Drosophila melanogaster: one gene and its partners. The protein of the gene in region 2 interacts with the protein of the main gene of each other region in a pairwise test. Each region holds a gene or a part of one and is shown on either strand. Other genes may lie near its edges. The genes, in order: BomBc3, Srpk79D, CG34168 and lig.

Region 1 (5,008 bases), on a different chromosome or scaffold from region 2:
CCTTGTCACCCCATAAACTTTTTATGTAGCATCCGTTTTAATATGTTTATGATTTAGTAAATATAAACCTGTCGAAACGCTTAAGCAATAAATTAGGTCTTTAGTAGTAAATTAATTCATTTAATTGAAGTATAGAATAGTCGTATCCCTTAGCAACACACACAAAATACCTTAAATTTCACAATCAACCAAAGCTATTTCACGTGTCTCATTTGTAAGGATGACTTCGCAGAAACTGATGCTTTTCTCCGCATAATTCCAGCACTTATCGCATTTTCGTTAATTATACGCTTTCAGCAAAGTCGGAATTCCAATTTCGATGGTGGGAAAAGGAATAATCCTGTCGATAATGAAGTGCTGGGTACATGGAATTTAATTTATTTATTAATATCTTCTGGCGCCCCAAAAGGAGGCAGTAAACAGAAGAGCGACTTTATACAAGCATTGGCGAGTTGGGGGTAAAATATAATAATTAAAGCTATGTAAATTTGCTATGCGGCCGGGATTTTCAAATAAAGCTCAACCAGTGGCAGATATAAGAGTTTCCAAGCACGTGACAATATTACCAAAGGCGCTGCCCCCAGGGCAAACAACATTGGTGTACAAATAAATCAATTCTGCCTTCTGGCAAAACACTGCGGGGGCGAAACAGAAAAAAGTTAAAATTTATTTGAAAAGCGTGAAGGAGATGGCCACTGCTGCCACAAGTCCGATCGGCTCACCTTTCACCTGCCCCAGAAATTCCCCTCTAATGCCGCACAAATTAGGCACAAGAGAACAGAAATTGACCTGAAATCAAATACAAGTCAACATAAATTCAATTTCGAACATTCCCCAGCTCAAGGTCCTTAAGTTGCTAGGCAGATAAACCACCCTGTTCTGGACTAGGACTGAGTTCCTCAGCTTCATGGGGCTTCTAAAGTTGCGTGTAAACAATTTGTGACCCAAAAAGATAGGAAACGACACATTTCTGCCAATAAAGTGTATTAAAAGTAAATCAGAGAAAGTGTATCGAAACCCTTTACGATTGGTATGGTTATGCCACCCAAATGTTCATTGAATTTTAAGCCAGTCGAGCGTTTTTCTGAATTTAGCACATCCGCAAGGGCAGTCCATTGATTTCAATGCATTGTATTTTTTTTTAATTGCAAATAAAGCTTAGGTTTTTATTCTTGGATGTCCGGGAATCAATACTATTCTCTTAAGTTATACGCTTAAATCAAAATTGTATGATTGTTAAGTAATCCTTTTACAATTTTAATTGTTTTCGCATGCTAAGCCTGAATGAAACTTTTCCCTTCTTATTCTGTATATAAAAACACAGCATCAGTTTTATTCGAAACTTCTGCACAAAATATTCTTGGGAAGTGTGTGTGTGTGTGTGTGTGTGTGTATGCACTAAGTGTTTACTGTTTGTCGAGTAGTTAGTTTCAAAGCAAATATTTGAGAGGCTTCTGTTTGCCGTTCCTGCAGTAGCATTACGTATACGCCACGTGGCACGCGCAACCTTAAGCACCCTTACATCAGGCCAGCGTTTTCATTGACAACACATCCACTGGCGTAAATTGCACGGTTGGTTACTCGCATTTGATTATCGATGCTGTGCAATACTCTGGAGACAGCGACGTCAGCTCCCAGCCCAGTTTATGTGGCAACTAGCTGAAGTTCAAACAATCGATGCCATTGGCAGCACGAATTTCTCTATTTTTCCGTCACAAAATCCGTGGGTCTTCCCTTATTTGCAGACTGTTTTGAAACCAAGGCTTTTGAAAATGTAACGCTTTTGTATCACTTATTTTTGAGAAGGATGAGAGAAGCCAATGTTCACAAACAGACAGCTCGCAGTGCACGCAATGAGGTACTGGAAATCGTTAAAAAAAATTCTTATTTTAAATGTGAAAAATTTGATTTTCAGGACTGAATATTTCGACCAAAAGCAATTATAACATTCTTCACGCTTTTTTCGCAGCATAAAATAACTCGGATGTTTCATGTTTCTCCACGTGTACTTCGTGGTAACAAAAACTGAATATAAAACGCTCATTTTTCCATTTTTTGCCTCCATCAGATGATGCCCTCTGCACTCGAAACCATCACATTCATCGAATTTGCAGAGAGACTGGGTTGAACGATTGTCAATGCTTTTAGCTAAATGATGTTGTACATAGCCAAGTGTAAGTATGAAATGGATTGATCGATATGTGCGCAATTTTAATTCAATATTCAGACTTTATTGTTTAAGCCTTTAATAGGGATCCACGTTGCAGTGCTGACATCTGCCATTGACGATGGTATTACCACCCCTCCGGTAAATGGTGCCACCTCCACCGCCACTACCGTCATTTCCACGGGAAATGACCACATTACCATCGCCAGGGGATGAGGAGAAGCTGCGGTACTGCTGGCCATCCAGGTAGACGGGTTCACCATTCGGATTGGGACCTTTTCGAGTGCATATTATTATTCATTAAGTTGTCCAATTGCCTAGCTGGCAAAACAATCGCAACTTACAAGTCAGACAGACGCCATTCACCACCACTGTGCTGGGATGAGCTGGAAATAATTTCAGTGTGTATCAATTAGCGTCAGCAGCAATCCCGTCCAGCTTACCGCCGATCAGAGTCGGAATTAAAGCCAACGGGAGCAGCACACACGTCAGGTACTTCATATTAAAGCCGATAGATAGATGACCGTATCGACTCTCACGCTACTTATATAGTCCGGCACTTGATTCGATCCGAATCAAAATCGATTTGCATAAGCCTAAGCGTTTGGAGCTTTCGATTTGTATTTGAACAATATATTTAAATTAATTTCACACTAGAACACTATCAAATCGCAATTCGATGGGGTTTTCCGCACACGGTTTTGTGGCATCAGGTCGACGTAGTTGATTTCCTTGAACTTCTTCAAAGAAACTTATGACAGTCACGCCCCGAAAAGTCGGTTTACAATTATTCCCAGACGTAAACATGAATGGCAAGCGATTCCAGAGAATCGCACACCATTAAATTTTATCCATACATCTAAGGAAAACTGGTTACAGAACCGAAAGTCGTGACTCGTGAGTGAAATGTAGAAGCTTTAGTTCTAAAGCTAACAATTTATATTTAAATAATAAGATACTTAATACAATGAAAAAGCAAAAAATATATTTGAAAACAAATACATTTCATTAAAAATAAATCTTTGCAACTTTGTAGAAATGAAAAGTGTCTGACTTATTATAGATTTTACAGATTTTGTGTATTTGTTATGTTAAAAAGGTAACGTAGAGTATCTTGAATGCAATACGACTGACCAACTGATGCGCTACAGATTGTTTTTGAAACCCATCCGCGGGCAATTCCCTGAGATTAATACTTAATACATACGTAGTGGTTTGTTTGCACAGCAATAGTTCTTTGCAGCGATAAGGTCTGTTTGGGTTTGAATTCGAATTCAAATTCAGTATCGGAATCGGAATCGATGAGTGCATCGTATATAAGCTGCTGTTGCGGTTCGTACCTGGTCCAGACCAGTTCGACGTTCTAATAGACCAGCCACAATGAGAACCTTGACGGCATTTGCGATTATCGCTTTTTTTGCACTGGCTCTAACGGAGGCGGCTGTTTACATCGGTGGCGGTTGCTACGACTGTAAGTCAATGCCTATTAATTTGGGCCATTTATTCAAAAATTGTTCAACGATTTTCGTCGCTGCCACATCAGGCATAGTTTAAAAGGAAATTTTGTGTTTTCATTAGCGAAAGTTTGAATGAACAATCAATTTGTTATTATATTATGGTATTTCTTGGCAACGAAAGTCATTAAGTGATTATTAACGATACTCTAAACATTTGTTATTGGTTAAGTTTATGAATAATATAATTCCGAACACTTAGCTTTAAGCTTTTAATTTCTATAGCGCATAGTACATTTGCTGGCTTGCGTAAAAAATGCAGTAGCTAGCGCGCAATTAAGTAACTACTACTCCTCAAGAAACTGATTTAAATATCACTATTAGGTAATCCACCCGGAGGCCAAGGACCTGGAGTCTACACAGGTGGCAACGGAGGACGAGGAGGAGGAGGTGGATACAACGCAGGCGGAGGCGGTGGAGGATACTACAACGGCGGCGGAGGTGGAGGAGGTGGCCGTCGTCCAGTATATTCGGGCAACTTTGGACCCGGCTATGGTAACGGCGGAGGAGGAGGTGGAGGAGGCTACGGAGGCGGCGGTGGAGGTGGCTACGATGATGGCGGTCTTACGCAGATTATAAGCGGCTGAGATTATAATCTCGAAGCTTTGCTAGCGCTAAGCGCGAAGAGCAAGCATCGTCTGAAACTTAGATTATATAGACTTAAATAAAAAAAATATATATTTTATCAGCGGTGACTACTTTTATATACTTACAGAATGAGCTTTTGTTAGGTTTTGTTAAAGGTTAAAAACAAGTCCCTCTGTTAAAGTAAAACTAGTGAATAAACTTATCAAATACTCAGCTAACGCTACTAATAAATGGCATGCCACCTATAGCTTCTAAAAATAATATCCTTAATTCCTGTGCATTTTATAATTGGTATTCATTGTAATTCAGTTCAGACACGTATAAATGAGTAGCAACTGTTCAAGAGTGATGATTAATATACCCTTAAAGCCATAAAACCGACTGTGCTGTTCGGTTGAAGGAGTCAAAGTCCTGCAAAGGAAATAATTCATAAGCTCTTCAAAGTTTCAGCCATCCTGCTTGTCAGTCTTAATTAAAGGACTTGCCCTGGCTAAATATGCAAGGGCATCGAATTTCCAAAAAGTTGAACCAAAAGAACCGCTCGGTGAATCCACAAGCACTTAATTGATACAATTACAAGTTCGATTTTTGTTCGTTCGGCGAGCTTTTGGTGAGCTAAGCTGAAGCAAATGAACCGGAATCAAATTAAGGGTCATTAAGTATAATTATCGGTATCATAGCATGCATTTTGTTAAACAGTTTTCAAGGACTTCCTTTCTTTAAGTTGGTTCTTTTGCAT
Region 2 (6,028 bases):
TAGTGTACATACATGGCTTGTAGGCAGCCCACCGAAAGTTTTTGACTAAACATTGGTTAAGGGACCTTCCCTCCAAGCTCTCAAAACTTGCTGCAGAAACTAAAATACCGGCAGAAATCCTAATCCCACTCTTTTGTGTCCCGCAGGAGGACGTTGACCTAGACGACGTTAACTTGGGTGCGGGCGGAGCCCCCGTTACCTCACAGCCGCGGGAACAGGCCGGAGGACAGCCTGTTTTCGCCATGCCGCCGCCCAGTGGAGCCGTGGGAGTAAACCCCTTCACCGGCGCCCCTGTAGCAGCTAACGAGAATACGTCGCTAAACACAACGGAGCAGACCACTTACACGCCAGGTATATAAGCAATTGGTCCAGAAGTCAACCACACAGCCAGCCTCCGCTAGTTTGGCAATCCGACAAAGCGTCTTTGACCATCGAACTTGTTATTGTGCATATATCGAACAAATATTGTTTCCTTCGGTCGCTGGATAGGTGGCGAAGGCATTCAGTCACCAGTCGACATACCCCGTCCAGCGATCAGATCAACACCCCCTTAGCAGTAAGCTCGTGTATCCGGCAAGGTATTTTTTAGTCACTTTCTGTACATGTCCACGCGAATATGGGATCCATTTACTTAGATCTGCATGCTGAATTACATTACCACACACTGCCCGAGCTGCAGGATGACCAATGAATAGATTGATTGACTCAGCCTTTCGTTCCTTAGGTCTGCGCCAGCCGTACTCAAGTCCCCCATTTTAAAGACCTCCTTTCAAGATTGTTTTCCAAGCTTTCGCAAATTAAATGAAATGAAAATTTTAATTTCCATCCAAGACATATTCAAAGAATGTAGCTTAAGTTTGACGGATTTTAGTTTTATCGTTTCTTATGCAACGCGTACATTTTGATTTCTTTTCACTTATCACTGTCTACTTCTCTCTCCCCCTCTCTTCACTCTAGATATGGTTAATCAAAAATATTAGTCAAGTGCTGCGAGCGAGTCAAGACCCGGGTGCTTGCGTACACCACACATTCAGATACAGACACAGAAAACACAAGCCCCTAAATCGTAACAGAAGAGAAAACCAGATTTATTTCATAATTATTAGTGTTGTTTTTAAAATGCGCGATATGTTGAAGCGAGTAAACATAGAAACCAATGTATTTATTTTAAGCCGTAGCACTTAGCTCTAATTTTAAACTATCGAACTTCGTGGCCGCCCTCCGGTCAGTCAGGTTGATTTTGGTCCACTTCGGGCAATCGATTCACCAATTCCATTGTTCAAGCCATGCATCTAGCCTTGCAGCTGTACCACTATACAACTCGAATCGATAGCCAAGCCGCGAAGCCACCATCTCCACCTATCCAGTCATGCTAATCACCAAAACACCATTCGGTGTTGATGAAATTGTATATCGGAAGTTTGTCTAGACATTTGCTTGGGGATCGGATCCCTTGCGGCTTAGCCCGTGAGTTGGGATTCAGTCGCGAAGAGAGGCACTGTAATTATATATATGTATATGATATGTGTATCTAGTTTGTGGCATTTGTGTCGTCGCTTAGTCTAGCTAATTTGTTCTCGAGATCTCCTCTTCACCGATTGTTTCTGTTATTTTGCACTAAATTGTTAAAGCCAGAACTACTTATGTAAAAAGGATGAATTGTCGAGCGACGCGCCCAGCAGATTGCTCCGATCCGATTCTAATGCAAATGTAAATACGAGTTAAACAATTAAGCATCACACAGTTAAACAGAGGAGGACGAAGAAGAGGACACTTTGAAGGGCGATCCAATTAACGCAAATATAAATTATATAACAGATATTAATAATCCCCTCTATATATAAAACAATTAAATACGAGTAATCAAAAGTTGAATTGTAACCCCCGAAAGTATTGCACATATTTATGTATTCCAAATTGTTTCAAAATTGAATTGAATCTAATTAATTTTTGTTTGATTGTTAACCCGCTTTTAAATGTAAATGAATGCGATTAGTCCAGCAGTAATTAACTTTTATATTGTAGTATCCCATTCTAAATCATTGACATCAATTATTGCCGATCAGCTCCGGGCCAGGATAAAAGTCCTTGGGCGCCTGGGTCTAGGGCCGGGATCCGAGAGTCGCCGGCTCATCTATAGTATAAACACGCATACATATATAAAATTCAATTATTAATAATTACATTTTACGGTCTTGCGTGTGTATTTATTGTTCGTACAAGTCAAAGCAAAAATACTAAGTAAACTAAATTTAAACTTAACAATTGTTTCCAAATTTCAATTGTATTCTGGTCTAACACGAAGAAGCCGAAATAAATTTATTATACAAACTCACCGCTTTGTTTTACAAAGGGTATTGCCTAGTCGGCTTTGCCCATGAAAAGCTCTGCCAGGATGGTAAACAAACTGATTTTCGGGGATGGAACTTTCGACGACGCCAGCTGCTTGCAGTTAGCTTTCACTCTCTCCGCTCGGGCTTTGTTTTGTTTTGGGACAGTAACGGGCCACAGCCGGCACATGCGCTTTGCCCGCTCCCCGGAATCGCTGAACTTCGCCGCAGAGTTTTCCGCTTCAGAACCCGGAGGGCAGACCGTCGGAGAGTTCGAGCCAAGTGCGGACAAAGAAGACTTTTCCGTGCTGCTGCTTCTGCCAAAAACACAAAGTGGAAAATGTGATGTGTTCGCTTTATTTGTCGAGGATAAATCAATTCCGCTATTAACTAGACTACGGGCACGTACCTGGCCAAAAGCATCGAAGAAAGGCGAAAGGGAATCCAATAGGCCCAATTGAGGGCAGACCGTGGAAAAACCCTCTTCTATCGCGAACCAGTTCGTGGCAGTGTGTGCGTGCGTGTGTGGATTTTCGCCTTACTTTTTTCATGCGCAATTTGGGTTACAAAGCGAGAAAAGCGCTGCTTAAAATGCATGTTTTAAGCGCGTCCCTTCATTGATTTTCCTACGCACAAGGAATGATATACGAAGTCCTCACCAGGAACAAAGGGCGCAGGCCAACGATGAGGACAAAGACGCGAGGAAGCTGCTTCTAGCTTCCCAGCATTCATTAGGACAGGGCGAGGACCAGCCCCGCGCAGATCAGGAAACTCATCCCGGGAGGCATCCTGGCTCCCGTACTGCCCAGTAGCGGCATGGCCGGCCTCATCGGTGCCGCAAATGGCAAACACCACCACCCACACCTCATCTCGCCCACCCACACGTCACTGCCGGCCGGCATATGTAGTAGTGACAGCGGCATCTCCACTTTGAGTGCCATCTCGCCGCCACTCTCCACCTCGACCACCACGGCCTCCGGTGCAGGCGGAGGAGTGGGCGGCAGCCCTCAGCTGCGCACCTCACCTGCGCTGAGTATGCTGGGTAGCGCCACGGCGACGGCCAGCGGCGTTACCGCCTCCTCAGGATGCGGTCTAACTGCCGGGATCCTGGGCCCGGCGGCCAGCATTGACCTGGGCAGCTCGCCGCTTTCTCACCGAAACTACAGCAACTCACTGAAGGGCTTTAGTTTCCGTCGCAGCTTCGACGACAAGATCATCAATACGCCGTACTTGTCGCGCGCTCCAGCCTACACCCACGGCATTCCCTATCCGCATTTTCACGGTACTCAGCCTGCGGCCACCACGCCGCACCACCTCCACCTACACCACCATGGGAACGGCACAGCTGCGGGATCAGGTTCCGGTGTGGGATCGGGACCGGGATCTGGCAGCGGTGCAGGAGGACTCTACCAGCAGCCTCTGTCGCTGGCCTCGATGACAGCGGCCCTGCCACTGGCTCCGCTCTATGGATCCCCGCTGTCCCTGCCGCTGACCTCCTCTCAGTCCACCACCAAGCTCTCCTACCGCGACGACTTTCTGCAGCAGATTGGCTATCTGCCAACTACGCGCATCTACAGCACCCCGACCAGCATCGTCGACGAGGACAAGGCCCAGCAGGACTTCCTCTCGCTGTCGCTGTCGCCGCCGCTCAACCGACGGCGGGATATGCCGGCACTGCGCGGCCCATTCGTCAGTCTGTAAGTACTTCATCGATATCGTTGTCCCTATTTGGTAAAACATTTTTATTGTGCTATAAAATTAATATAAGAATTTAGTATATATTTCTATTTTCGGCTACAAATACCATATTTGCCAATATTATAAGATAAACTTCCTTCGATCACTTCATGATCACTTGAACACTTCATCTTCAAAAAAAATGTTCTTGACATGAACTGACACTGAGACATGATCAGAAGATCAGGATCTTTTAACAAATAGAGCTGGGCGTGTCCGTCCGTCCGTAATTTTGTATAAAGTTCGACCACACGTTTATTTCAAGACGTGTTCATGACGGACTACTAGAAACGTTAACTAATACTGCTCATTGGAAAGCGACGTCTCTTTAACGCTTTTCTGTTAAGATATCTCAACTCAATCTCTCAACTGAGTAACGAAGTAACTCGACCAAATGCATTTAATTTGTATTGACAAAATGGTATTAGGTTCCATTTCTGAGTGACACAGTATAAGCCTGTAATGTAAATAAAAATATAAATTGACAATTAATGAAATAATATTAAAGGGCATACCAGCTTCGACTTAGTAAAGTAAGCTTTTTTCCAGTTTTCTTTCCCATCACTCTCATGCGGATAAAATATGAACATAAAGTATACGCCGCGTGTATTCCACGTGTCTCTCACAGGCAGGAAATAAATTTATCGAACCGTAACGAGCTGCTCCAATATGTGAGCCGTTCGGGGATGGCCTCACTATTCGCGTTCCCACTGTGCGGGCACAGTGGGCCTCATTGTTGACGCAACCCATTAGTTCGATACCCTTCGCCACACAGTGTGCTTATCCCGAATGGGATGTGATTCCACACACTACATACTTACTTATGTGGTCCAGTTTTTTCGACAGTGGTACCAAGCAAACTTTACCTCCTGCGTCCCATAATCCTACATCGATCCCCCCGCATGAGTTCTTCCATTCAGTCCGCTCGGTTTGTTTACGTTTTTAAATTGCCCTAACCGCAAGTAGGCACCACGTGACGCCAGTGGCTAACCAATGAGCACCCCCAACCCAATCACCAACCTCCAACCCCCAGCGCATCCCCGCAATAACACAAACTCACTGCAATCGAGCAAAACGATGACGTTTTACTGCCTCTGGCTGCTCTGTATTCGCACTGATTTTCTAGCCGACTTATTGTTTTCATTCGCTTCTTTCGGCGTCTATAAATAATAATTTTATTGTGTTGTGCGGGGGGGGGGGGGGTTTGGTGGTGGTGTTGTTATGTACGCCGAGTAGAGCGCGTTCGTGTGTCAGAAATAGGGTGACTCAAGATGTCAGCAAGCTTTTCCTTCTAAAGAAATCGCCATGGCTCCATAAGGATCAACGGCTGACTCAAGTTGGGAACGGGGCTGCAAAATCAATAAGGCCGGTTAGTCCCAATACGAACTCACACATTTGCATATTGTGCAGGCGGCGGACGGAACTGCAGTTGCATTGCGAGGAATTTTTCAATCGCACCTAATCGCTCGAAACTACCTTTCGAAGTGGTTTCGAAACCTTTTGGAATTCGAGGTATTCGAAATCCTGCCTGTCGAACACCCCTCTGCACGGGCGAGGGAAAATTTGGCAAGATGCCTAAGAAATCTCGAAGCACTCGATGATGACGATGATGTTGACGGGCATGGCCCCGCATGAGTGTGTGCTCATTTGGTGGACTCTTTCCTGGTGTAGTGCAGTCCATGACCGGCAAAGGCAGCGAACAACGAGCAGCGCCACGACATCGACTTGATGAAGTACATTGGATAATGACGCCAGCAAAATACACGGCGCATAAAATTATTCATTTACAAAATATCCAACTTTTTTGAATAAGTATTTCTCATCAGAATTGCCCACAAAGCAACCATTTCATACTCAGTAAAAAAATATTTATATACGAATACACCTGTCTTTCAGTTTTTATTTAGTTATTTACGAAGCCACTAAATTACGATCCTGTAAAGTAGAAGGTATCTGTTGGC
Region 3 (4,046 bases), on a different chromosome or scaffold from region 2:
TAGTGGGATGCCTTAATAGGAGCACCTGGCTTCCTACCTAGCCTTTTACCCATCTTTAACTTGCTTGTTTACTCGACTTAACGGATAGATGCACATGAGATCTAATTATAATCTAATAAGGATGCACGATTCCTTAGATTCCCACATTCGTTCATTCACAATCCCCAGATATAATCGCGCTTTCTATTCTGTCAAATCCTTTGGAATTCACAATGCAAAGTCAGCTCGCACAATTGCTTATTTCTCCGCGAACACATAATTGGCCATAGGTAAACTCTGCTCGGGCGGATAAATGCTGGCGGGGCTTTATAAGTCCACAATCGTCTTCACATTGTCGAGGCTTTTGTGCATTGACTGATGGATTCGGTGAGTGATTGAGCAGTTGTTTGGTTGTTCACTTCAGCAAAACATTCAATGCATAACTACAATGGGCATAAGTTATGCTTCCCTGCAGAAATACCATTGCAATGGCGGTGAGCGAAAGGGAAAATGCAAGCAAGGAGTTCACTTGACTCGCCCACACAACGATAATCATGTTGTTGATGCCGATGCACGGACTGCTGTAGATATAGATATGGTATCCTGATTCACTGAATCACTAACAAAGTCAGACAGCATCCATTTCCACTGCGCCTGACTGCAAGTGCTTCGTCAATAAAAGTCCCCATCGCTGGATTATTCAGACAGGCAAGTGACCACAACAGACTTCCTTTGAAGGTATTTTGCCAATTTATTAATCAGAAATCTATTTTTACTACCCGAAAATTTCCTTTGTTGTCGATAGTAATAATTATATTTTAAAGAGTACAGATTGTGTATTAAGTTTAATTTTTATTTATAAGTTACATAAATGAATAATTAATATTTTATGGTTTTAAATTAAATAAAGTTTTCTATTTGACTATGTAGAATCTATGTGAGCACTTGTAGCTTTCCTCATATGTATGTATATTTTAAAATTTATTGTGCAATTATGCATTATTAGTTATGATTAAACATTTTAATGGAGTTTTCTTCCGCTTTTAAGCTGTGAGTTACAAACAAATAAATCAAAAACATAAGAACGGAACCAAAAACTTATCGCTCCAAAACTTCCGCTGCACGGACGCTCATAAAATGGGGGACATTGAACTTCTGAGCGGGCTGAAAAAGGCATTGCTGAAAACTGTAAAAATACCAGCGAAGAAGCCGGAAAAAAACAGTGGAAAAAAGTCACATCAACACGAAACATTAAGCTTCACAGTCACAACATATTCGGCTCTTCGATGCATTTTCCTTAAAGTCGCCATGGAGTTCAAATCGAATGGGAGCGCACGCGCCTGCGAATATGCAATGCTGTAATACGAGACCAACACGCGATGGAGATGATGTTTGGTTACGGAAGGGGATACGGGAATTTTCCCGGGGTATTCGGGGTTCCGGAATCGGAACAGAAAATAAGCTCAACCAGACCCAAAAGGCCACCAAACGAACGGGCTATTTACGAAGGGCGGAAGTGCTTTAATTTAATGTTGGTAAAAGATAAGAAGTTAATCCGATCAAATTTTCTTGGCCTTTCCTTCATTTAATTCGATTAAGTAATAGATGAGATAGTGATGTTGGAAAATCGATGTACATGAGCTTTATAAGTAAATAAACTTGTAAAATGTACAGAATTCTTCATCCTTCAGAGTTTTTTTTACTTATTTTCTTAAACTCATAAAAATTAGGAACTTCGAGATGGATTAATTTACACTCAGCCTTACAGCTTATTTGGGTGAAAACGTGAAAAGTGTTGGGGTAATCGACTCAATTAGCTATTGCATAAGCACACTTTGCACACTCCCGCGCCAGCCAAACAAACACCAAACTCAATTAGATGCCATAACTAAATAATCACAAACACATTTACGCCAGCAAGAGCTCTTTTCAGTTGAAGCAGACCGGTTGGTAACCAAGAAACGTGGCAAAAAAAAAAGAAAAGAAAACAGAGAACCAGGTCAACAACAGAAACAACATGAGCAACAATTTTGAAACAATGAAATGACGACAACGACAGAAGCGGCAAGGCATGCCTGGAAAATTGCTTCCAAATGCTCAGAAGCCAGAGTGGAAATATGGGTAGAGTCGGAAAAGTGGGTGGCCTGGGTGGCTGGGGGACATTCCAACATGTGACGCACGTGACAAAACTTGTCAAGTGACTTTACTTCACTTTGACTGCGAATCCCGGCTCTGTTGTCCGTAAACAAGAAGACGGAATCCCGGCTGTGAAGAAAAATAGGTTTGTGTGCATTGCCCAACACAAAATGCTTAAGAAAACTCTGCTCTTGGTAAAACAATGAAAGGTGGGGCAAAGAGGAAAAATCAGTCGCGGCTTGGCTTTTCCGACTTGTTGCGCCTTCGGCTAAATTATGACATCGAGAGTTTTAGGGGAATGGGAAGTCCTTCGGGACGGACTGAAGTATTTTTGGAGGAGCAATGGAGTGGAATTTTATGGGACACACAAACAATCGGGAACGGTTTTATGAATTAAAATTCTTAAAGCGAATTAGATAAGAGGCTAAGAGGCTAACTGTATATATAGTTAATCAAATTTTAAAATTTGGAAAAAAGCATTTTAAAAGCAGGCCATGAAACCACAACATAGAAGGCCATGAAATCAAAGTTAAATCTGTAGAACTTTGTGGACCAAGCTAGTGGCTTTAGCTCATTATAGTTTCGGTTCTCCAACAGAAAACATCTATTTGTACGACTACCAAATTTCTAGGACTGAAAATCCTACTTCCGTAATCAGGCTAATGTGAGTGTGAACAACAAACGAATTTGTTTCTTGAAAATATCCTCGATTCGTTTCATTTCGTTTTCAGAATAAAATGTGCAATCCAGGAATGTGCTCGATGCCCGGCACTTGCTGTGGACCGACTGGCGGACTGGGACCCTGCCTGCTCTGCGGACCCTACAATGGCCAGTGGTTCCGTTCGGTCAACCACTGTTGCGGTCCTTGTGGCCCATATGGTTGCTGCTCATGCTACGGGCCGTATGGTGGACATTGTTAGCCTGCTTAGAAGGAATGTAGGGTTTCTTTATCCGCGATCTGGAACAGGAGCTTTAAAGATTGCAGCCGTGAGGCCTTGTCGAAGATGAGGAGCCACGCTGAAAAGTTGTCAGGCAAAGTGGATCCAAAGATTTGTGTTCGATGAAAGATTATGCCATCAGAAATAGATGTTAATAAATTATACGTATAATTCAAAAATAGACCACTTTAATTTCACTTCACATGTATTGCTATCAACAGTTAGCAAACCTAATTAAATATTTGGCATGCATTCTGTGGAAACAATCACAAAATTCCATCTCGTAATTTGCCGTTTTTGGTTTTCTTTTCAGTCCGCCGGGTGCATTTAAGGCTAAACCCCATTTGATTGTAAATATTTGGCTCGTTTACGGCTAACGATACATCGGGGACCAGCCAAAAAGACGTGTAATGCTAATGGGCCTGTTGAGTGCAAATTTGTTTACGAGTAAAACACCACTAAAACAGATGGGCTTGCTGATTGCTTTCAATTTTATTTAATCGAGGCACCCCGCATCAGATCGACCAGAAAAATTGATATCGTTAAACATAGTGAACAACAGAAACGGTAAGTTTAAAGAGTATATCATCGTGATACGGCTACTTGGTGCGTTTGAGTGCTTTGCTAAGACTGGGGAAATACTCGTCACTGTTGAGATCAGGAGCTTGAGGTTTTCCGGACATCTTGGATGGAACCTTACGCAGACGGCTCTCAGCCTGATCCCGTCGATTGAAGTCACCTTGGCTCTGGCGGAGAGCAGGTGGTATGTAGATTTGGCTCTTTACCTCGGACGGTTCTTTCTTATTCGGTTGCTCCACAGACATCGGCTCCTTTAGCTTCTGCTGCTCCAGTGCGTGCTCCATTTTCACCCAGGGACAAGTGGTATTGCCGATGTCATCATCATGTTTCTGACCCACGTTCATGCCATCGCCACCTGTATCGGTTTGCTCCGAATCTTGAGCTTTGACATCGCCGACGGCCAATTGAGTCAGT
Region 4 (9,084 bases), on a different chromosome or scaffold from region 2:
AAATGAACTGATTTTGTTTGTTTTTTTTTTCAAAAGTAGTATGTTTTGTTGATGATAGAGGTGTGCAAATGCCAACAACTTTTCATTTGGTATCGATATACCACTTGATTTAATACGAGTTCAAAACCTTTTAACAAGGAGCATACAACATATTTAAGATCGAAATCAGCTTCTAATAGGTAAGCTGCTTATATTAGCTAATGGAAAATTGGATAAATTAGCTTTTTGAAGCCTTTTAATAATGGTATAGAAATGTTATCAATTTAAAAATTAGTAAAACTGATTCGTGGCACCGCTAGATTTCTGAGTCCAGGGCTGCATGCCCAGATAAAGCCATATCGATCGACTAACGAGCGGTCACATTAAAAGTGCGTTTCTCGGCGCATTTGCAGGTATTGAGTGTGACTCCGTTTTGAAAATTTGTTTATCCAATTTAAAGCCGTGACCGGAACCCTGCTGAGGTGTTAAAGTTTAGTTTAAGTGTCCCCCCACCTGTGCAACGTGTTTTCGACATGTCTCCCGGGGGCTTGTCAGCGAAAAACTCGGTTGAAAATTCAATAGTGGCCGCTGTCTGGAGCGGCGGTCGTCGTCAATTACTGGGTCCCTTGGTTTACATAAGAGCGAAAGAGTCGGCTAGTGTGGCGTTGCAGAAATGGCGTCGAAGTATGTGCACATGGCTGGGTCTATTAAGGCTATATATCCCGTTTGCCCCGCAATGTGCAACTGGGAGTGCGTTATCCTTGCCGGGTATGTCACATATTGGACAAATTTCGCCAACAACGAATCGTACATTTCGCTTATTTCGGCGCAGTGTACGCCACTTTGTCCGGTTTTGCATTCCACTTTGTGCGCTTCATTCGGTTTCAATGCCCTCGCATTCAGTGTTGCCAAGTGCCGGAGCGTACCTAGTGATGTGTGCCATCCGAGTCCTGCCGTGAATTTGTGCGTTTGTGCAGATATTGTAGCTAACGCTGTTTGCCCTCTCTAGGACCTGCTACCTCGTTAACGAATCCAATCATTGTGCTCCGATTGTTGGTTAATTTAACGGCCTTGCCAAGTGCCGCTGCGCTTTGTTCGCACCTGGCAACACTGGTCAGCCCGCGCTGGTGCGGGTGCGAGGGAGATGCCGCTAGGACAGATGCAGAAAAGCGAGCACAAAAGCGAAAGCGAAAAACCGAAGCGAAGAGGCCAAGGAGTTTATAAATCAATTTTTGTGTATGTCAGTCACCGCGATTCCCATTGCAATTGGTATTGAGTAGTTTCCGGGTCTCGGATCGCAGTTCCCCAGTTCCCGTGGTCAAATTTCCATATCATGGTGTACGTGCGAAATGCGAAACCTGATGGAAAAGTGATGGCGACAGCGGTCTTTTGTTTGTGTGCGGCAGTACGCGCGTGTGTCTGTGTATGAATAATGCATGGAAAGGCGTTATTCACGGCAAACGTTGATAAAACTGTTTTGACAACAAAAATTGAGTGATTCAGATATGCACTTGGTATCGGGGTCGCCTCTCCCGCTCTCTTTCCCATGAACCACCCCCCCTGGAAATGCCAACTGACGTTTCGGCTTGGATGCGTCGTGGTCACGTACCCCGCCACCCCCTCGGCAATCATTCTGTTACCTGTTTTGCCAATACACTTTTCACCCCCCTCATTATTTTTGTTATTTCTGAATGCTCGCTTTGTTTGTGCGTACGATCTTCCCTTCCTCTCGCACTTCTTTGCTTCGGCGTGTGTCTGTTTGTTCACGTTCTTTCATTCTCTTTTATTAAATGTACATTGAACTCTCATCTTGCCAACTTTTCCTTTGCTGCTCTCTTTCGGCCACTTGTTTAGCCATTTTAACACATTCCCAGATAAAAGCTGTCTGGATTGTGGGAGTTTACCATTAATATTTCCACGCCGACGAATCAAGATTTAGATCTTAACCATTCATTATTCTCTATCCAACAAAAAATTTATGTAAATGCGCTGTAAATTCCAATTGAATTTCTGCTATATTATAGTTGAATATCAACTAACAGAAGCGAACCAGGCGGCTAACTTTCTAAATCAGCAACACCAAAAATCATTACTTATTACTCTCTACTTATTTGCATTGATCTTTAGATATTACTATTTTACTTATAGAACATTAAGTAAACCCAGAGAGTCCCATACTCAGAATCCAGTCAGCACAGACTTAAATTTTTATCAGTCAGTTTGTAGATTCCCTGGTTTTAAGATCGAATCCTTCATCTTTTTCGTATTGCAGCTAATTTGTATATACAGTGTACATAGAGATGAGCACACAAACTCGTTCAGGCGGCGGGGGAGGCGGCGGCCATGCCCGCAACCAGAAAAAGTCAAATGCCAGCAACTCCGGCGGAGGAGGAACCGGCCATCACGATGGAGTCTCACATGCTGCGGCCGCTGGCAAGAAGGGAGGCCAGGATGCCAGCAAGACAGACAAGCCAGAGAAGGCCCAGCCCAAGGCTACCACCGAACAGTTGCGCATTGCCCAGATCACCAATAGCACCACAGAGGATCCGCAGATCAACGAGAAGGTTCTCCTTCTTTTGACCATGACCCAACGTTCCGAGGAGGAGGTCTGCTGTGCCCTCAACGAGTGCGATTACGACCTGGAGGCCGCGGCCAACTTCTTGATCGAGGAGCTACCGCAGGTTAGTTTCGATTCTAATCTCCCGCGCTCCAGTTATTCAATTGAATCTGTTTTAGGGCGCCTTTGCCAAGTACGAGAAAAAGCGCAAGAACAAGGCTGCAAATAACACGGCTGATGGTGCTGCTGGCGATGGCGATTGGGCCGATGGCAATGGCAATGCGGACAGGCGGGAAAAGTCGCGAAACCGCAGCTCAAATCGCGGAGGCACCCGTGGCTCCAGTGACAGTCGTGGATGTAAGTATCATAAGCCACGCTCATTTACTAAAACGTTTCTTAGGGCATTACTAAACGTTTTGGATCTTTAAGCTCTGCATTACAGTTATTGTAAAACTGCTAAAAATAACGTTTCTTTTTATGTAGAACATATATAAAAATTAAGATCGTTAAATATTCCAATGCTGATTGACATTTAAGGTTCAGCATTTGTTGGTCATGCGCGAGCTGTAATTAGAGAAAATATTAAATTGATGAAATAATTTTAGTAAATGATATTTATCCTAATCCTCTGAACATAAATTAATATTTGATTTCTAATATTGTAGGGCGCGGAAGAGAGACTCGTGAGAATGAGCGCAACCAGCGCGAATCTCGCGAACCTTGGTCCGGGCAAAACGCTGGTCAGGACCGCGGTGACGATCGGGCAAATGACAACTACCGCGGGCAGCGCAACGGCGGCGGACGCAGTGGTCCCGGTGGCGGTGGACGCGGTGGTGGCTTTGTCTCTCGCTCTGGCCGTGGCGGCGGCCGCATGGGGGGACGCACCGGTGGACCGCGTGGCGATCGCGGCAGCGGAGGCCCTGGTGGTGCTTATGGATCAGGTCGCGGTGGCAATGCAAACGAGGATCACCACGAGGTTGAGCTGTGGGACAACACCATTGCCCAAAATGCCGAGAAGCAGCAACAGGCTCATGACGATGCCTGGGGCGACTGGAACAACGAGGAGTACGAGGGCTCGCTCAAGGACAGCAAGGTGTTCACCACTAGCAACCTGGCAACGCAATCCGCTGCCAACGTGGTTAGCGGAACTGGCGCGAGTGTTACAGCTGTTCCTGCGGCGGCTGGAACCGAGATATCGGCGCCACCGGGCCTTGAACATCAGTTGGTGCAGCAGGGATCTCATCTGGAGGAGAGCTCCAGCAGCGGCCCAGCGGCGGTCACACCGCCAGCAACGCTGAGCGGCTCGGCGACCACGCCGCTGCTGCAATACAGCGCAGCGGTCAGTAATCCACCGCCCCAGCTGCAGTCCCAGGGCACACAGTCAGGAGCGGGTACAGGAGCGAGCGCAGCTGCCGGCGGAGGAGCAGGCAGCACACCGTCATCCTTTGTATCCGCCTCTCCCGACACATTCTCAAGCGCCGCCTCGGCAGCTGCCACGCTGGTGCATCAAGCACAAAAGCAGCAGCAACTTCAGCAGCAGACGACGCCTATCAAGCCGTCGGCTACTTTGTCGGTCGAGCAATCTCAGTATTTCAACTCGTTGGCCAGCCAGGGCGTCAGCCCAGGTTCTGTTCCAGTGCAATCGGCGCCAGCGGGTTACGCGCAAAACCCCGTGGCCGCCTACTCCCAAACTAGCACTAGCGTGGGTGTGAGCCAGTACCCCAATACCTATGCCAACGTATTCGCTTCTGGAACGGCAGCTGGAGCTGGCACTGCCGAGCAATCGCAGCAGCAACCGCAGATACGGAGGGCACGTGTTAAGCTGCCACCACCCTCGAAGATTCCTGCGAGTGCCGTCGAAATGCCCGGAGACAATGCACTGAACAACATTGGCTACCTGGACGTGCAGTTCGGCGCTCTGGACTTCGGCACGGACGATGGCTTCGAGCCATTGCCGGAGAAGGTTGGTTCGGGCTTTAGCATTGATGGTCAGCAGCAGCAACAGCAGCCAGATGACTACCAGAGCAAGTCCCAGCAACAGCAGCAGGTGACGCTAGCGGCAGGTCTACAGAGTTCGCAGATTGTAAGTACCGTACTGTATCCTTTGAATCACCCAAGTAATCATCGTCACCATGATTTAGTTAATACGATAGTTTTTAGCATAGTGCATATATTACTGAGAATCTAATAGCATTCCTCATTTATAGAGCGATGCCTTAAATGCAGCGGGCTATACAAGCCGTTCGACGTCACAGCAGCAGCAGGGCGTTAGCTCAGCGGTGAATGCCACAATCGATCAGCTGACCAAGAGCGATCCCTACGGACAGACGGGCGGCAGTGGTAACGCCTACCAAAACGCGTACCAGAGCAGTGGAGCGAGTAAGACAGCCAGTGGCTTTCCGACGACCGCGCCCGGTGGCTACAGCAGCTCCACATACGCGAATGTGCAAAGCTCAGTAGCCAACAGTTACCAGCAGCAGGGATACGGCTCATACCAGCCCAGTTCCTACCAGCAGCAGGCTGGCAGCGGGGCTCAAAGCGGTACAGGTGCGGTAAGCGGAGGCGGAGGAACGGCGACGCAAAACATTCCGGTTGGAGGCAGCAGCAGCCAAAATAGCACGAGGTATGACATGATCCAGTATTGATTGTTTAATATTTAATTCCAAAGGGTACGTACCCTTGCAGAGATTCGTAGTTACATATTTCTTAAATTTAAAAATTATTTCTAAGCAACAAGTCGATTTGGCAAGGAACAACTAACTATACTCAGCAAGGGTACAAACCTTATCGAATATATCTTTTACTTCAAAGTTTAAATATTTGTGTGTATGCAAGTTTTGCTTAACAATTAGCCCCACCCGAAAGAGAGCTAATCTTCATTTTGTTTACTGTTTTTCTTCTCTCCTAACACATTTAATGCTCGCTTATGTCCCAAAAATCCCAAACCGCAATCGCGCTCCGCACCTAACAGCGGCAATGCGAGCTCTGCCTACCTCACATCCGGATATTCGACACCACAAAGTGCTTACCAGTCAAGCCAGAGTGTTTATGGCAACACTGGACTGTCCAACAGCAGCGGGTAAGTACCAAATGTGACGATCCCAATCCCAATACGATCAGTTCCCTGGGGATGACACGTACCTTATTTTGCTTGTTTGGACTGGTTCTGGTTCCATTATGCTTAATTGCGGCTTCTCGCCCGTTCGTTCAGGTTCTCTGGCAGTGCGAGCAACGCGTCCTCGCAGTACGCCAATTTCAGTGCCAGCGCCAAGCTAAAGGATGCGACCACGGCCAGTAGCGCCGCTCATTACGACAGGTAAGAGCGAAACCCCCGCTCTGCATGCCCCGCTTTTTCAAATATTCCGACTAACCCAACCCCCTGGTCATATCCCACTTAGAGGCGGATGCCTGTAGCACTTAATGTTGATCTTATTGACCTTTCAGTGTCTCAACCAGCAGCGGAGTGAGCAGCAACAGCGGAAGCACAGGCAATGGCGGTGTGGTGAGCGGTCAAACAGGTGCTAACCAGGCGGCTGTATCGAACAGTAAGTAATCGATGATTTAATATCAAACAGTTGAGGCCCTAAAGAGTATGCATTGCAGTCATTAAGCTTTCTGGTATAGAAATCCCATATCAAAAATATTTAAAAACAAACTCACAATGTCAAATCTACTTCAATCTAGCCACGGCTTTGACAATACAACTCTCCAAAATAAATATAATTTTTGATTCAAACTTTTTGTTTAGCTGAAATGCTCTATTTTTGGCCGAATTCTTAGTATTCGCATTTAAACTAAAACCTTTCCGTCCTCTCCAGATAACAGCGTGAGCGGCAGCAGCTCGGTCAGCAATGTGACGGCAGGCGTTGCGAGTGGCAACGTAGCTGGCGTGGGCGGAGGCGTAAGCCAGAGCGGCGTAAGTAGTGGAGTCGGCGTGCCCGGTGGCAGCGCGTCCAGCGTCGGTGTGAATGTGAACAACAACAGCAGCAGCGCCAGCTCGGTGGGAGCAGCGACCGTTGCCCAGACAGCCACGGGAACCACCGCTGCAGTGCTGGCCTCGCTGACCAACAAGAACACCAGCAGCAGCAATAGCAGCGGCAGCGGTGGCAGTGCTGCCACGACGACGGGCAACGCCAGCGGACAAGGTGCGGGAGCAAGCACCGGCGGCGTGGGCAGCTCGTCGGGTGCTGGTGGTGCTGGTAGTGGTGGTGGCAGCGGTAGCGGCTTGGTGCCCACCAACATCCAAATGGTTAGTCAATATATTCAGACTGGATTGCCATACTATCAGCAACCAGTGTATTCCTACGAGGAATTGCAAATGATGCAACAGAGAGTGCCACATGTGGTGAGTTCATGGAGAAAAGCAAAAGCAAATATCAAACCAACAACTACATAATGCAACCGACCAATCAACCGAACCGTTTCTAATCAAACAGTAATCGTATCAATATGCTCCCATTATACAACGTTTTCGCATTAGTCAAGACCTAGTTCCATTTAAAATTTAAACGCATACGACAACTGCTCAGCGCATCCCAGCTCGCCTCCCGCTGCTGATCGAAATCGTTAATCCGGATCCTGGCTCGTTGACGTTGCGGCCTCCCACTCCTAACCGTTTCTCAGCGTGCATTGTACATAATAACATACATATACCGCGATGTCTGTGATCAAGTCCTTATTATACCACCTCCTAAAAGTCTGTGTCTGTTTGAATATGTATGTGTGTGTGTGATTGTGTAAAAAGCTGACACTTTCCTTCGCCACCCTGCACCATCCGCTTCCGTTTTCATCCAGTTCCACATTCCTGGCATTATCACAAAAAAAAAAAGATAAACAATCCACATGTATTGCTTACCTCCCAGGCTCTGCTTTACACTCAAAATTAACCAAAAACTAATCCGAACGTTCTTCCTCGTTTCCATCTACAATGTAGTTGTGGAATTAGGGATGCAAAGCCAATTCAAATCGAAGAAATATAACCTTAAAATATAAATATATATATACTTGAATTACTTTGCATCCCTAACTACAACGAAATCTGTGCTCCTTACTGACCCATTTCATTCGATCACTAACATTTTACCCTTTTTTTTTTCTTCAACCTAACATCTGACTAATGTATAAATTTCTTACATTGAACATAACGTATTTCATTTTGTTGAAACTGGTACACGTGGTTTTGTCAGACCTTTATCACATATTTATTTTGTTTCGGTAAGAAGTTCTGACAAAGTGATCCGTTCATCATCTTCACAGCCATAACACGCCCAGAATGCTCGCGTGAAGACGAACCTAATGCTATAATTCTCAATTGCAGCAGGGATATTACGATCTGAACTATCCGCCGGCCAGTTTAGGAGCTGGACGTGACAACCTCGGCTCTGTGACGTATTCTGCTATGAATGATGGACGCTTTGCCCGCACTGACAATAACTCCAGTCCGGTCGGCAATGTATGTGCTCAGCTTAGATAGATAGATCGATAGATGGTAAAAATGTTTATTTTGCAGGTCTCCAGCACAATGTCGCAACAGGCTGGCTCAAGTGCGCCCATGCTAAATGTTCCTTACGCCTACTTCTATGGTGGCAATGTAATGCCCGGTAGTTTTCAATATGGCACGCCCGCCATATATCCAGTAAGCCTATTACATTCAAATCACTTTGTATGCAGTATCTAATCAACGTCTAAACTTATTCAATTTCAGCAAATACCGGCAGCAAACACTGCCTCCGGTCAACAGTTCCCGAAGCCTTCGTATAGCGCGGGCTACGGCTCGACCAGCTATGACACTCTGTCGCAGACCACGCAGGACTACAGCAAGGGCGGCTACTCGTCGAGCGTGAATCAGCAGAGCAAAACTCAGACTGTGTCCAACCAGTCGCAGGCAGGCACTGGATCCGATCTGACCTCTTCTATGTACGGAAAAGGACACGTGGCGCTGAACAAGGTTAATGTACGTATGGTTATAAGCAGGGCTGTGGATTTGGATGCAGGTCATCATAGCCTGAATTCGATGTTAAAAGACTTCAATTATCTTTGAGCAAAAAACAATACAACAATAAGATTTCACAGCCCTGGTTAAAACACCTTATCTCCCGACGTGTCTACATTGTACCATTGTATTTTTCGTTATTCAGTCGTACGAGAAGCAGAGTTTCCATTCGGGCACTCCGCCCCCGTTTAACATGCCCAACACTCAGACGGCTGGAGGCACCTCTGCCCAACCGTACGGCATGTACTTGCCGATGCCAGCGGCCGGACACCACAATATGATCCATCAGCCCATCCACCAGGTACATTCAGAATTACCACTTCAGGTTGTTGTAGGCGGAGGGACGGAAAGTCATGTTCTCATTCATGGGAATGTGAACGGTCCTCAAGTTACATACCACCGGATCTGGCAAACCGAACCTGTCCAGTGTCAGAATCAGCTCGTTGCCGCTCATTGCAATAACTTTGAACCTAATATCGACTGCTGTGTTCATGACAATAACAACGACTTGTCCTTCTTCGCCGACTGATGAAATGCTTAGGGAACTCATCTTGTT

Evidence for each region.
Region 1: the proteins of Srpk79D (region 2) and BomBc3 interact in a two-hybrid assay, tested with the Drosophila melanogaster proteins (one large-scale study listed by BioGRID).
Region 3: the proteins of Srpk79D (region 2) and CG34168 interact in a two-hybrid assay, tested with the Drosophila melanogaster proteins (one large-scale study listed by BioGRID).
Region 4: the proteins of Srpk79D (region 2) and lig interact in a two-hybrid assay, tested with the Drosophila melanogaster proteins (one large-scale study listed by BioGRID).

Annotation. Positions count from the first base shown.
Region 1 is NT_033777.3:22,084,863-22,089,870, reverse strand, and holds BomBc3 (bomanin bicipital 3), read right to left. Parts: upstream 2,689-5,008; 5' UTR 2,669-2,688; coding exon 2,611-2,668; intron 2,554-2,610; coding exon 2,512-2,553; intron 2,443-2,511; coding exon 2,246-2,442; 3' UTR 1,370-2,245; downstream 1-1,369. Other genes in the region: BomT3 (bomanin tailed 3), read left to right, coding at 3,548-3,638, 4,006-4,268.
Region 2 is NT_037436.4:22,271,412-22,277,439, forward strand, and holds the start of Srpk79D (Serine-arginine protein kinase at 79D), read left to right. Parts: upstream 1-2,573; 5' UTR 2,574-3,146; coding exon 3,147-4,027; exon of another isoform or gene 4,028-4,080; intron 4,081-4,134; exon of another isoform or gene 4,135-4,305; intron 4,306-5,952; exon of another isoform or gene 5,953-6,028. Other genes in the region: Csp (cysteine string protein), read left to right, coding at 147-351, 958-980.
Region 3 is NT_033779.5:16,133,895-16,137,940, reverse strand, and holds CG34168 (uncharacterized protein), read left to right. Parts: upstream 1-2,668; 5' UTR 2,669-2,779; intron 2,780-2,846; 5' UTR 2,847-2,852; coding exon 2,853-3,035; 3' UTR 3,036-3,227; downstream 3,228-4,046.
Region 4 is NT_033778.4:8,067,620-8,076,703, forward strand, and holds the start of lig (lingerer), read left to right. Parts: upstream 1-2,209; 5' UTR 2,210-2,279; coding exon 2,280-2,660; intron 2,661-2,715; coding exon 2,716-2,893; intron 2,894-3,201; coding exon 3,202-4,619; intron 4,620-4,743; coding exon 4,744-5,159; intron 5,160-5,507; coding exon 5,508-5,615; intron 5,616-5,747; coding exon 5,748-5,852; intron 5,853-5,980; coding exon 5,981-6,081; intron 6,082-6,354; coding exon 6,355-6,881; intron 6,882-7,792; coding exon of another isoform or gene 7,793-7,798; exon of another isoform or gene 7,799-7,853; coding exon 7,854-7,988; intron 7,989-8,045; coding exon 8,046-8,171; intron 8,172-8,240; coding exon 8,241-8,489; intron 8,490-8,673; coding exon 8,674-9,057; 3' UTR 9,058-9,084. UniProt on the Drosophila melanogaster protein: Acts in the nervous system to mediate the control of copulatory organs during courtship.